2 linked regions of the Drosophila melanogaster genome follow. The protein of the gene in region 2 interacts with the protein of the main gene of each other region in a pairwise test. Each region holds a gene or a part of one and is shown on either strand. Other genes may lie near its edges.

What was found. Proteins that work in one complex are often made in the same cells at the same time.
Region 1: the proteins of prc (region 2) and Tsp5D interact in a two-hybrid assay, tested with the Drosophila melanogaster proteins (one large-scale study listed by BioGRID).

The regions. Positions count from the first base shown.
Region 1 is NC_004354.4:6,068,843-6,076,551, forward strand, and holds Tsp5D (tetraspanin 5D), read right to left. Parts: upstream 6,016-7,709; 5' UTR 5,735-6,015; intron 4,156-5,734; exon of another isoform or gene 4,020-4,155; intron 3,034-4,019; 5' UTR 3,026-3,033; coding exon 2,963-3,025; intron 2,207-2,962; coding exon 2,015-2,206; intron 1,874-2,014; coding exon 1,679-1,873; intron 1,612-1,678; coding exon 1,451-1,611; intron 1,361-1,450; coding exon 1,120-1,360; coding exon of another isoform or gene 1,108-1,119; 3' UTR 299-1,107; downstream 1-298. Other genes in the region: CG4666 (uncharacterized protein), read right to left, coding at 7,528-7,709.
Region 2 is NT_037436.4:11,960,124-11,967,873, reverse strand, and holds the start of prc (pericardin), read left to right. Parts: upstream 1-1,742; 5' UTR 1,743-1,821; intron 1,822-2,632; 5' UTR 2,633-2,696; coding exon 2,697-2,768; intron 2,769-3,010; coding exon 3,011-3,069; intron 3,070-3,135; coding exon 3,136-3,239; intron 3,240-3,301; coding exon 3,302-3,466; intron 3,467-3,522; coding exon 3,523-6,825; intron 6,826-6,879; coding exon 6,880-7,420; intron 7,421-7,484; coding exon 7,485-7,610; intron 7,611-7,750. Other genes in the region: Muc68E (mucin 68E), read left to right, coding at 1-294.

The DNA.
Region 1 (7,709 bases), on a different chromosome or scaffold from region 2:
AGCCTATCAACTTACGGCCTTAGCTGTCAGTATTACTGCAAGTCCTTGAGTCTTGGCTATTTTCAAGCCAGATTGACAGTACCACGACCCGCTGGCACTGCTTATGCAATTAGTCGCTCGTCGTGTGCGCTTGCGCTTCGCTTTGAGCAAGGTCAGTTCCAGTGCCAGCTTTCCCTCTCTTGACCACTCTCTTCCCCCCATTTCTCTCTTGCAGAAGCCCAAAGAGTTGGCGCGCAGCGTGACGAAGGGGATCACGGCTCAATTGGATATCATAGGAGGCAAATTGGTGGGCCTTTGAGAAGGCGTGTAATTTAAATAAATACTTTAATTTATTTTGTAACTTAACACGAACATGTTGTTTAGGAATGCATTTCGATATAAATATTTGTATGTATGAATAAAATAATCATACGCATAGTAGTAATGTAATATTTGCTTTAACTATTTGCTCCCTCTTTCTCCACTTCGTCTTCTCTTCTTTTCTTTTCTCTTCTCTTCTCGCTTTCCTCGCGCTTTTCGGGCAGTTGCGGTTTCTGCTATTTCGAATACTACAGATTTCCATAAAGTAACATAAGTATTATATAATTATATATAAATATATATTGTAGTTGATATATTGGTTTAGTTGAAGGGTTACGAGCATAAGCATATCCAGGTCCAAGGATTCCGACTCACACTAGCTGTATATATGTGTCAGGTACTCTTGCAGCTAAGCAGCCAGCCTGATAAGTATGGAACGCACTATACCCTGTTCCAGGTGCGTTTCGGGCCTTGGGCCTTATACTATACTACTAGAGAGCACATCACAATATGGATACACTGCTAACTAAATATGTGATTGTTTCACCGGCAGCAATATGACATGTTCACACTGTGCCCAGTGCGAATTTGTCATTTTGCTGCCAGTTCAATTTTGTTTCGACTTGTCTCCGCCTACAGATTACAAACAAAAAAACAAAAAAAAATACACTTTGAATTAAATTAATTTTTGGCACATTTCGCAGAATAAATTAGAAACTAAGAGAGTTAACAAAAGGAATAGAGATAGCGACAGGGAGTTCGGGAGGCCGACTGCAACCCCCCAATTTAGAAGTCCGCCTACCACCGTCACAGGCGCGTTCAATCTTCCCAACTGCTGGTGCGGGTCTGAGGATCAATCGACGGGGAGTATGACTTGTAGGTGTCCGAGGCCCGCTTGTGCTTCACCGTGCAGAACAGCAGCATCGAGGTGATCAGCCCGAACAGCTGGACAAAGGCGATGCCCAGTCCCACGGCGCCCACCACGTTCAGCTGGCCGGTGAACCAGCTCTGCAGCGAGTGGGCACAGCCCTTGTCCCACCACAGCGACGGATTCTCAGATCTAGAGTTGGCGAAATAATGGTATAGTGGCTAGCTTCTCGAAATGATGTAACAAATGGACAATAGGCAAAGGAGCCGAACATGAACACACCTGCCGCAGTCGGGACGCATCATTCCGTCGCCGGATCCTTCGGTGAGCACCTGGCGCTGGTCGTAGAGGGTCCTGCAGCAGGACTCTGGCACCCAGCGCCTGCCTGGCCACGACTGAATGTCATACCAATCCTCGTAGGAGGAAACGCCGCAACACTCGAACTAACCAAAAGGGATCACGTTTCAATGAGCACGTGGAACTGGGCAACAAGCGAAAGGCACCACTCACCGACTGCTGCACGCTGTCCCAAATGGAGGCCACCGAAGGCGCCACCAGAGATCCCCGATCGCTGCTGTTATAATGCCGCTCGATCCCGAAGCGCAGCTCGTTGGCCAAAGTCCGTCCCAGTCCGCCGCGGAAGAGAAAGGCGATGGAGCCAACCAGGAACTCGCTCATGAACAGCATTACAATCAGCATAAAGTACTGCGGGTAGATATGATATTGAATGGCTTTGCACAGAAAGAAAATGGTCAAAAAAAAGTACATAGATCACAAATTCGACATGCATGTATGCCATGAGCTAAATCCTCTCCGTTGACCCTGATTTACCCCCGATTTACTCACCAATACCAGGAGACAGCGGGATTGCACCCAGGCGCCGCAGCAGCCAAAGAAGCTGACCACAAATCCGGTGCCCCCGATGCCCATGAAGATGGTGTCCGCACTCAGACCTGCGTGCTGGGGCAGCAAAGTGGCGTATCCCGCGTAGCTCAGTCGCAACCAGAGTCCCGCTCCTAAAAACGCACAGCTACATAACTGCAATGGGTCAGGTTGGGAATTGGAAATTGGAAAATAGAAATTAGAAAGGCACTGATTATCCAGCAGAATGCTCGAAAAGTGAGAGGTGGTAGCTGCATACCTAAAGGACTCAAAAAGCTTAATATTTGATATAAATCAACGAGTCAATTATTCCAGACAGTGTCACCTGGACACAGACCTTGATTTATTGCTCTTTGCTGCACGAATAGCTGAAGGATCTATCATTCAGAGGCGAAATCAGATAATTCCCCCGATTGACGGCCAAATGGAGAGCTTTCGATTGCAAACTGTTGCATGTTCACAACGGCCTGACATCTGACATTTTCAGGGACTTCGGGGGAAACCCAGTGGCAAGCAAAAACAAAAGCGGACGGAAGCTGCAGCTGCAGCTCCAAAAAGCTAAGGGTAAACACGCCGCCAAAGTCTACGTCGAGCTGGAAACTGAAACTGTGCTGAAAGCAAAGCCAAAAGCAAACGCAAAAGTCAATGACAGGCGCTCAGACAATGCAACATGCTGTCACAAAGACACTTCCGTCGCAGACGACGGCAAAGTTGTGGCTCTGATTAGCCGCCCTACGTACTGATTTTGATTTTGCCTGCGATTCTGATGCCGCGCATATCCGTTCTGGGGGAAATGGAGACGGCAGTCAGAATATATGTATCTTTCCAGAAATGTTTACTTATAGGCATAGAGGTGTGTATTTCAAGTCAACTTATTAGTAATTAGTAGGATTTTTTACTTAAATAACTTGCCCATAGAATGATGTTGAGCCAGCAGAATGTGCGGCGTATGCAAGTGTAGCCGGCATTGCCCATCGCGGGATCTGAAACGAAAAAAAAAACCATCAGGTAGAGCTCGAAACCTTTAATAGTCCTTTATATTTAGTGTAATTCCATCCTAAAAAGTATATCCTGTGGAAAAACCAGACCTTGCATCCATTAAACATCCATTTTGAAGCAGCAATTGCAATTCTGTTCGTTTATATATCAAATATAGTTTACTGTTATTATTATGTGTATTATTACTATGTTTTTTCATTGGCATTTCCTTTTGTCAGCGCCATGTAACTGGAGTACCCACATGTGTGTATGTGTGTGTGTGTGCCAGCGGGGGCGATTCGTTAGGCAATTGCAGCTGCAACTGCTGCACAAATGCAGTAATCCACAAATGTCCACACATGGGTAGACACTCGCTTATGCAAATATTTTGTATGATTGAATGAAAACAATAACTAAATAAAAAAAAATAACAAAATTAACAACAGCAGCGACCGCAATGACCATGGTCAACGAAGCAGATGAGCAAATAAATGGGTGGGTGTCCTCATCTGTATATTTAAACTATGGATGGCAAAAAGCATTCAGGGCCGTCCATTTGTCAATCAACTTTCATTGATTTTAAAGAAATTAAAATAAAATGTAAGTGCTGAAGATTATGAACACTATTATTCGCCACATTGTATATATGTACTAGTATATAAAAAACCTATGTATTTGGAACATTGCGAATGTGTAGAGAACCAAGAGTTAAATTGCCAAAAACTACCATTCTTCTCGACTTTCATGGGAAAGAAGCAACAGTTTTTGAATTGGTTTCATGCTAATGATCACATGTTTTGTTGCAATCAAGCCCATGGATCTGGGAAAATTCGTGTTGACCAAAAAAAAATAAAAAAGATTGCGTGTGAACCAGCAATGAAAACCAAATACAAGGAGAAAAAATTTTTTATTTTGAAATGCACTGCTAGGCAATAAGGATTTGGAAAATATTGCCCAGGAACAAGTAAAGTTAAAATATATATATACATACATTCTTTAAATTAATTCTTTTATACTTTTTCACTTATGATATTTAATATCTTGAGCTGTCATCGTCCGACCTGCAAGAGCCTTACTAATAAATAGATCTAAACTTGAAGGTCCAGAGGAGCACGTGCCTCCTAATCACGATCCTCCTACAATCTCGCTACCCCTTTCGGATTCAGATCCGGACTCAGATTCACATTCAGATTCACATTCGGTGGGGTTCGGAATGTCCGCTCGAGGGTCGAGCTATCCAGCATATAATTGGAATAACTATCATCCGCGATGAGGATCAGCCCGCCCCCCCTCCCCCCGCGAACATAATAATAATAATGAAATAGTGCAAATAATAAGCGGCACTGGGCGGGGTAATGGGTCTGGCCTGTCCAGGGCTGTCCAGTTTTCAGCTTTTCAGTTTTTCAGCTCGGTTCCACTGCGACTGCGATTACCATTCCCAGTTGCCCGTTCATAGTTCCCAGTTTTCAGTTTCCAGTTCGTCGTCTCCAAGTGCGAACAATTGCACAAGGCACACACAAACAGCAACTGTCGCTCGCTTATTTTCCAATTTAACTCAATAACGCGGACTGGCTTAATGGCATTTGACGCTGAAAATTTGCGATTTACCCACCCACCATACCCACCTACCCTCCGCACATACCCTATATGCCACATACCCTACATGCCCCATACCCTATACACTATACACTATCCACCGTGCTCTGGACATTTATCATAATTCGAGTAGCTGGATGCTGGGATGCTGCGGATGTGGATGTGGATGGGAATGGGGATTTGGATGTGGCGGAGTGATTTATGCCAGGGAAATGCTGCCATCTCAAATTGTTTTCGTTTAGCCGAAAACTTTGCAAATCGTCGCAGTAATGGGTTAAGTCGATTAGCTTTTCATATTTTCCACTAGCCTATTAACTTGCATTTGCTTGCATTCGATGTGTTAGAAAATGATATCCTTCAAACTATCTAAGCAGGATAGAACCCTAGTAAAGTGTATAAATAATTTCGAAGATATTACTTTACAAAACGAAAACATAGTCCTTTAATACAATTTCCAAGCTAGGTGATATTATACCATATCACGTAATATTATAGTTAAAATATATTATCGAGCCCAATGAAAGGAAGACTTCAAGTTCCCACACTATAGTGAGATTGAATGTGATGAAAGATACATATGTGTCATATTTCATAATATCGAAAACAGAGATCACAAAAGATCAGGGTAGCATGTTACGGGGAGATTACTGTAGCAGGCGGTAAAAACCTGTAGGTAAAATTGCAACAACAACAACGACGACTTTAGCAACAAGATCAGTCGCTCTGAAAAAGATTTTCACCATCTGACCGTTGGAGACCCTCCCCCCCACTTTAATGCTGTTGTTGTTGCTCTTTCAAAGTGTCGTCCACGAAAAGTTTTCTCTTTTTTTGTTGTTGTAAGTTACAACAGTGTTGTTGCTGCTGCCTTTCTGGCCGATCGGCCAATCTATGTGTTTATACTTTGCCCCATTGCCGCATTTCTTTTCAGTTGCAAATTACTTCAAGTTGTTGTTCGTTGTTTGCTTTCAATCTGGTTTTTGTGGTTGTTGCTGCTGTCAATAAACTGCAAAAGTTCGTTGTTATTGTCACAGCATCGGGTTTTCTATATGCTATATATGTTATATATGTATGTATGTATTTCAACTGTATCTATACAAACAGGACATTTACATTGGCTTCAAGACGATTTAGCACTGTTTCCAACGGACTTCGATTCGCACTATAAGCCACGGAATTTAACTCGAAAAAAAAAAGAATAGGAAAATAAACAATTCACTGGCGCAGGAATCTCCGATTCGCGTTCCCAAACGTTTCGTTTGGTTCTGCACTTCTGATTTTGATTCTGATTCTGATTCTGATTCGGATACTCGGATCGCTGGCTTGGGATATCAGATTTTCGGTTCGTTTGGCGTGTTCTATGCGCTCGCCGCGGTTGTTCAAAATAAACTGACAATTCTTCACGTTGTCAGTTAAAAATAGCAAAGAAGCAACGCCGCCACGCAGCAGCCGAAGTGGCACGAATGTCTAGCCGAAGTGGCTTCGGTTGCAAGTTGTAATGCACAGCGAGAAAAACTTGGGAAGGTATTCAATTTTGGTTACATCAGCCCTATGTTTCATCTAATTGTTTGATTTATCATAATTTATTATTATTTATAACAATTAGTGCACTTTCTTTAGCAAACACCTACGATTTTTCTACGTGTACCTACCGTTGACAGTTGCACTAAGCTCCTCGCTCTCTGAGAGCAACACACTGAGCGAATCGGGGAGTACGTGCGGCCCCAAAAGAGAACTGAAAAGCAACGCGCGCCGTCTGCATACTTTATGAATGAGATTTATGTTTAGATTTCAGTGTCACGTTTTGATCCACTTTTCGGCCTAATTCATACCAAACAAATAACAACAAAAGCAAAAAGCAAAAAGAGCACAACAAACGGAGAGATTTCAAATAAATAACGACGGGAAGTGGAAGTGGTCAGCACTCATACGCCGTGTGTGCAGCTGTTGCATCCGACATGACGTCACGGATTACGCTGCGGATTACGGATGGCACTCAGCTGTCCAAGTCAATGATAATATGGTAATTATTATAAAGTATGATAATAGTTATCTGCAGATGGAAAAGCATAGGACAACAATTGGTTCAATGAACCTCCGTTAAGTGGGCAGTAAAATAATCAGCCCTTTTTGCAAAGAAAAACAAAAAAACCAAATAAAACACTTTTTTTTTGTGTTTTAACCATAATAACGAAAATAATAATCCATATATATTATGCAAATATATTGGATACCAATTTTTCTCCCTTGCACACATTATTTATGCTTATTTGTGTGTAATATTTGCAAACTTCTGAGGTTAACAGTTCCAAAGCAGTTTCGTTTCAAATTACATAACCAAAATGCAGTCTTCATAATTAACTGTTCCATAATGAAGACAGCGAAAAAGAAAATATAGAAAACAAGACAATCCATTGACTTATCGACACAGACTTGGCGTTGCGTGATATCAAACTTAGCATAAATGAAAGTCGTGAAAGAAACTCCAACGACTCCCGTCCACGCAAAACGCGTTTTTAGGAAATATATGTGATAAAACGATCAAACTGCGAAAGATGTAAAATTGTATGTTCAATCTAAAATTATTTAAACATTTACAATACTTTTTGGTTTGTAAAAAATTATATTTAAAATCTTCAGCCATTCCATTAATGCAATATTCCTATAACTAAGGCACAGTGAAAAAATAATAGCAAATAAAGTCTTTAAGTTGCTATGGGCCATTGTTTAGATTCATGACTTGTGTACATTTTGTTACGCTCTTTTTTGTGTGAAAAACCCACCAGTCTAGAATTACTTCACTATGCACTCAAAAAAAAAAAATAGAAGATGACTACGAATCTAAGTAAATGAGGCAAACATATGTAAATGAGCTGTGCTGCGGGAGATGGAATCAATCAATCGATTCACTTGTCCTTTCGCAGCTTCTGGCTGGACAGCTCGATGGCATCCAGCCAGAGCTTGAGCTCCTCCGGCTTCTCCGGTCGCTGGGCAGTTTCCGGATAGGTCTTCAGTACCTCCAGCACATTGCAGTTGGTGATGTTCTGCTTGGACATGGCCACCGCGCGTACAAATCCGTCCGAAAGGG
Region 2 (7,750 bases):
ACCATGTATTTGCAGTGTAGTAATGGCGTGGCATTGGAGCGCAAGTGTCCAGATCCGCTGTATTGGAACCCGGAGATAAAGTCATGTGATTGGTCCAATAAATATTGCACAAATCTTCGGGCGAGTCAATCGATTTCTTGCGCAGCGGGCATGAATTTTAACGTTTTTCAAAGCGATTGCTCCAAATATGTCAAGTGTTTTGGCCTGAGAGGTGTTGTAATGAGCTGTAATTCAGGACTTTACTGGAATCCCGTTAGTCAAGTTTGCGAAAAGTCCCGGCGATTCTGCACATAAGAGTAAGTCCAATTAAAGTAGACAAAATTTTAATAAATAACATGCGGACACTTTTTTTCAGGAGCAGTGCAACGGCATTATTCATTGGACAATATTTACCTAAGAAATGAATAAAAAGATTGCGAATTATTAAAAATTTATTTATACTGTGGAAATTACAAATCGATTAATTAAAGTTAGCAAAATTATTAATATAATGAAACAGAAACTGAATGTTAAATTCCTATTGTTGTATATAAAAAAAAAAAAACACATTCAATCGCATTTTTATTTCACTGGGGTTTTTTTTTTAGATGATCTAAATAGATATTTTTGGATGCATGCAAATTTATTTCAATAGACTGAGACACTTTGGTAATGAACTACCCTATTGTTATAGAAACAAAAGGTAGTCTCAAATTCATCTCAAGGTGTTACAAAAAATTGGTCTCAATATAAATTCTTATTACGATGTAATAAAAATTTCATAGCACTTTATTCCCATTAAAATTGGAAAACAAGGTTAAAGATATTTTTAAGTGCAATTGTATCTAGTAAAATAAGTAATGGGTACACTGTAGCCGGATTATTTGCTTTCCACAGTTCCTAGGCCTTTTTCGTAGATCTTATCAATCTAGGTTTCAATTAAAAATATTACTAGCCTTGAAACACACCCCATACAGACGATGGGTATTCAAAAATTGAAAATTTAATGCTTCAGTTCAATTTAACACATGGTTTCATAGAAGCTCTTAGCAGATAAGGGTATAAAGCCGAATTCAACATTGAATGGGGGCTGGTAGAGACTGCTCTATATATAGATATGACGATGGGTAGTCTAAACAGAAAGCGAAAGCAAATAGTTAGTCTCAAAGGTTATCTGATTAAATTACTTCCGCCAATTTTTGATTTGTAGAAATAAATAAGTGGCTTGGGAAATCCAAAGCCCAATCGATAAAGCCTTCGCCAGATGCAAAGAGAGCACATACAAGTCAAGTGAATGAGTGTGGGCAGGGACACACTTGAAATGTATCCAAGAGATACACAATTGCGTATCTTTATATGCTAATAAATGCCAGTACATTTCCCTAAAATGGGTCAAAAGAGTCCCCCATCCGTTGGCATAGACTACGATGTTGTAATGCCCATAGAAACTCATTTGTCGAGGGGGACGTCAACGCGCCGCCCCTTCCATCGGCAGGCCAAGCCAGACCAAGTGATCGATTGACACGATCAAAGCGCTGATACGTAATGGAATAGACACTCGAATGAATAGCACTGGCGACGAGCTCCCAGCTCGGGCTCCAAGTGCCCTGATCCGCCTCACAGATACCAGCACTCTGCGCTGGTGTGGATCCTACATAAATATTCATGCTGGCCAAATGCAAATGTATTGGAAATTGCTCGCCTTCAATGAATTTGAGTTCTGCTCAAGCTCTAGAGTTTTGATGCTCGTACAGGGCAGCGTTATTCGCAATCCAGCAGTTGTCGCGATCGGAAGCAAATCGGAAAATCTCCATTGGATTCCTAGAACACGCAGCCGAAAAAGTATGTGCCTAGGATGTGTGCCCTCGCAGCAAGGACATAGAGCAAAAACAGCTCTCAAATACAAGGGATTAGTGAAGAAATAAGATAACAAAACATCCTATTAATTGTGCATTACGAAACGGATTACAACTTGTAGAGTTTTATTTGATAAAATTTAAATGTGAATTTCTATATGCAGTGAAATTGAAATCAACCAAAATACAGGACCTTATATCATTAGTAAATGGTCAAAAAGAACAATAAGTGTGTAAATTATAATGTGTGCAAACTAAGAATCTTGTACTAATCGAATCATTGACAACATCTAAACACAATTATGTGAAGATTAAATTTTCTTCCCAAATTTATTAAATATTTCTATATTCAAATATAAATATGTACATTCTGTAACAATTCATATTCGCCAGGATAATCACACAATTATCCTTTCGAAGTGTAAAGTGCTTATGTGACTTTCTTGTATTTTTTACATATAAAAATCAAAATAAAGATGTGAAAAGCGAAAGATATCAAAAAGGATATGTACATATGTATGATTTCAGACTACAAATTCAAACACGTTTGTGTCAAGAACTAAAATTCGAAACTTACATTAATCAGCCTTAGCGATTACATCACTCGCAAGACTGAAATATAACTCAAGATCGATTGCCTTTTTTTTGGCATCTAATAGCACAGCGTGCGTGCTCATTTTAAAGAAAAGTGATAACCTCTGAAAGTGACGGACAAGAAACACAGAGAAGGAGTATAAACTAATAATAACACGCATCTATATGGTGTATTGATAATACAATTCAATTTCATCTTACAGTTTGCTGGTTGTGTTGCCGCGACGTCGACGCCTTTCAATTGGATTCAGGGTTTAATTTATTGAAATGTTGCCCTTTCGCTTGGGCCTGCTACTTGGCGCCGTGCTATTCGTGGCAAGCGCAAATGGAGCTGCCATCGTAAGTTTCCGAATTGTTAATGAATCTCCCCGAGAATTGTTGCTTCTCTGTGTGTGTTGAATGGAACTAGAGTAGTGTAATGTAAATGAACTCGGTTCGAAAAGTAGGCGATAAGACATAATTTGACCAAGGTCAGTTTCTTACAAGCAGCATCTAATCGGGCACACTTGCACAGACCCTTTGAATGAATAAAGATTAGACTGACATTAGCATTGAATTTAAATCGATGTATTAACTTTCAGGAAAATGAGGTTTCTAGTCTGAACGACTTGCAGCGGGAAAAGAGAAGCGGCAGAGGCTAGTAAGTAGTTGGTTAACAACTATTTTGGACCAGATGGGCTTACTTCCTTTCCATGTTTATCCGCAGTTCGAGGGGACAAACCCAGTCTCAGTACTTAAATTTCGGTAAGCCTGAGGAGGATGGAAAGGCTGAGGCAGAGGCTACCGAAAATGGATCTCGCTCCACTGTGTGTGAGTACGGGTCAGATGAGATTCATTAGCACTTTGTCCATTGACCTCTTGACCTCTTTCAGCTGGCACCCATGGAATGGGTCAGGCTCAGAGCCAGTTCTCATCAGGGGACTGCAATGGATGTTCTGGCTACCAAACGGATTACCCTTCTTCAGGCAGAATTCTTGATGCTAGTGGATCCGGAGGCATCGGTAGACCCGATTCCATTATAAGCTTACCCGGAGGTGGTAAGTCGTATATAATCAAAATGTATACAGTTTGATATATGTTGCTCTCCCTGAAGTTGGCGGACAAACCGGAGCTGGACAAGCCGGATACGGAAGCCAACTTGGAGTTGGCGCTCAGGCCGGTGCCGGACAACCCGGATACGGTGACCAACCTGGAGTTGGCACTCAACCTGGAGTCGGACAGCCCGGATACGGAAGCCAACCTGGTATTGGCGGACAGACTGGAGCCGGACAGCCCGGATACGGAAGCCAACCTGGTATTGGCGGACAGACTGGAGCCGGACAGCCCGGATATGGAAGCCAACCTGTGGTTGGAGCTCAGACCGGAACCGGACAACCCGGATACGGTGCTCAACCTGGAGTTGGCACTCAGACTGGAGCCGGACAGCCCGGATACGGAAGCCAACCTGGTATTGGCGGACAGACTGGAGCCAGACAGCCCGGATATGTAACCCAACCTGGAGTTGGAGCTCAGACCGGAATCGGACAACCCGGATACGGTGCCCAACCAGGTATTCTTGGACAGACTGGAGCCGGACAGCCCGGATACGGCAGCCAGCCTGGTATTGGCGGACAGACTGGAGCCGGACAGCCCGGATATGGAACCCAACCTGGAGTTGGAGCTCAGACCGGAACCGGACAACCCGGATACGGTGCCCAACCTGGAGTTGGCACTCAGACTGGAGCCGGACAGCCCGGATACGGCAGCCAGCCTGGTATTGGCGGACAGACTGGAGCCGGACAGCCCGGATATGGAACCCAACCTGGAGTTGGAGCTCAGACCGGAGCCGGACAACCCGGATACGGTGCCCAACCTGGTGTTGGCGCTCAGACTGGAGCCGGACAGCCCGGATACGGAAGCCAACCTGGTATTGGCGGACAGACTGGAGCCGGACAGCCCGGATACGGAAGCCAACCTGGTATTGGCGGACAAACTGGAGCCAGACAGCCCGGATATGGAAGCCAACCTGGGGTTGGAGCTCAGACCGGAGCCGGACAACCCGGATACGGTGCCCAACCTGGTGTTGGCGCTCAGACTGGAGCCGGACAGCCCGGATACGGAAGCCAACCTGGTATTGGCGGACAGACTGGAGCCGGACAGCCCGGATATGGAAGCCAACCTGGGGTTGGAGCTCAGACCGGAGCCGGACAACCCGGATACGGTGCCCAACCTGGAGTTGGCGCTCAGACTGGAGCCGGACAGCCCGGATACGGCAGCCAGCCTGGTATTGGCGGACAGACTGGAGCCGGACAGCCCGGATATGGAACCCAACCTGGAGTTGGAGCTCAGACCGGAACCGGACAACCCGGATACGGTGCCCAACCTGGAGTTGGCACTCAGACTGGAGCCGGACAGCCCGGATACGGAAGCCAACCTGGTATTGGCGGACAGACTGGAGCCGGACAGCCCGGATATGGAACCCAACCTGGAGTTGGAGCTCAGACCGGAACCGGACAACCCGGATACGGTGCCCAACCTGGAGTTGGCACTCAGACTGGAGCCGGACAGCCCGGATACGGAAGCCAACCCGGATATGGAACCCAACCTGGAGTTGGAGCTCAGACCGGAACCGGACAACCCGGATACGGTGCCCAACCTGGAGTTGGCGGACAGACTGGAGCCGGACAGCCCGGATATGGAACCCAACCTGGTATTGGTGGACAGACTGGAGCCGGACAGCCCGGATACGGCAGCCAGCCTGGTATTGGCGGACAGACCGGTGGCGGACAACCCGGATACGGAAGCCAAATTGGCGGACAGACTGGAGCTGGACAGCCCAGCTATGGAAGCCAACCTGGAGTTGGAGCTCAGAATGGAGCCGGACAACCCGGATACGGTACCCAACCTGTTATTGGTGGACAGACTGGAGCCGGACAACCTGGATATGGAGGTCAAACTGGAGTCGGTGGATCGCCTGGATTTTTAACTCAGCCAGGTATTGGGGGTATAAGCGGACCGATTGGAGGGAAACTCGGTGGCGGACAATCAGAAGCCGCAAAACCTGGATATTGGGCTCAACCTGGAATTGGCGGACCATCCAGATACGGCAGTCAACCTGGAATTGGTGATCAGACCGGAACCGGACAGTCAGGATACGGCGGGCAGCCTGGAATTAGCGGACAGACCGGAGGCGGACAACCAGGATACGGAGGACAGGCTACAATAAGCGGACTCCCTGGGTATGGCACTCAGCCAGGAATTGGAGCACTAACCGCTGTTCCTGGCGGACATTATGGATACGAAACTCAGCCTGGAATTGGTGGACAGACCGGAACCAACCAACCCGGATTCGGTGGTCAACCTGGAATTGGCGGACAGACTGGAGCCGGCCAACCTGGATATGGATTTATAGGTCAGCCTGGTATTGGAGGGCAAACAGGAACTAGTGGAAGGCAACCCGGTTACGGAACCCAACCAGGAATTGGCGGACAGACTGCAGCCGGACAGCCCGGATATGGAAGCCAAACCGGAGTTGGCGGACAGATCGGAGCCGGACAGCCCGGATATGGAAGCCAACCTGGAATTGGCGGACAGACTGGAGCCGGACAACCCGGATACGGTGCCCAACCAGGTTTTGGAGGACAACCCGGATACGGAAACCAACCTGGAGTTGGCGGACAGACTGGTGCCGGACAGCCCGGATATGGAAGCCAACCTGGAATTGGCGGACAGACCGGAGCCGGACAACCCGGATACGGTGCCCAACCAGGTTTTGGAGGACAACTCGGATACGGAAACCAACCTGGAGTTGGCGGACAGACTGGAGCCGGACAGCCCGGATATGGAAGCCAACCTGGAGTTGGCGGACAGACTGGAGCTGGACAACCCGGATACGGTGTCATACCTGGATTTGGAGGACAACCTGGAATAGGCGGACAGACCGCCGCTGGAAAGCCCGGATACGGTGGTCAACCTGGAATTGGTGGATCACCTGTGTATGGAACACAGCAAGGAACTGGAGGTCAATCAGGAATTAGCGGTGGCCAACCCGGGTACGGAACTCAACCTGGACAAACCGGAGCCGGGCAACCCGGATACGGAAGCTTACCTGGAACAGGTGGTCAGGCCACAGCTGGCCAACCCGGATACGGACCCGGATCTCAACCCGGAATTGGCGGACAGACAGTTGGTGGGCACGGTGGATACGGTAGCCAACCCGGAATCGGTGGAGCGCCAGTTTATGGAACACAGCCAGGAGGTGGCGGCCAAACTGGAGTCATTGGAGGGCAGCCCGGACAGATCGGAGACAGAGTAGGACAACCAGGATACGGAACCCAGACAGGACAAATTGGGGCACCAGGTCGATATACAGATGGAAGTCAAACTGTACCTGGTGCTGTTGGCACCGGTGGAGTTGGTAAGTAGCTATCAAGGCGGTGGAAAACAATGTTTTGAATTGCTCGTTTCCCAGTTGCTGCCGGTACCAGCGGAGCTGACGATGCCTTCTCCCAAGCCGAGTCATCAATTGGCGACGGACAAGCGTCGGCAAGTGCTCAGGGCAAGAAGAATGGAGGCACGGCCAAGACTCAGGTGTCGGGAACTTACAGCTCCGGCGGAACCTTTAGCGCCAGTGCAATGACGTCCGATGCTGATCGTGCGGCCAGTGCACAGGTTACCGGAAATGCTGATGGAGCCGTGAGTCAGTCTCAGGGATCGGGAGGTCCTGCCCAGTCGCAGGCCCAGGTACAGGTTGCCAAGGACGGCGGCACCAAGGCCTCGTCGCAGAGCGGTGGCATCATCCAACAGAGCCAGAGCGAGGTTCACGCCAATGACAAGGGCGGCCTGGCGGACGCCCAATCGAGCGGACCCGGACAAACCTCCTCCCAGGCCCAGATCGGTTTCCGACCCGGCCAGGAGGCCAATCCTATAGCAGCTAATGGTGGCGGCCAGGCATCGTCCTCATCTGGCACTCATTCCAGTCAGAGTAGCTCGCAGATTCACGGAACATCGAGGTAACATTGCTATAGGATTATTGATTATTGACTTTAGCCACTCATTATTGGTTTTGTATTTCAGCTTTGGTGTTTCTTACCATGGTGCTGCACAATCCGCGTCGGGAACCAAAGAGCAGGTTGCTACTTACAGGGAAGCAAACAGGGAACTCTTCAATACCATCAGTCAGTTTGGCAACAACGCAAATGCGTAAGTAATCGGAAAAGTGAAGAAAGAAAGAAAAACATGTTTTGGGCTATTTAAAAAAAGGGATAACGTATGCTTCTGTGGTTTTTAAATTGGCAAAATATGTTCAAAATTGATTTCGAAAAGTCACACACTTTAGCTCA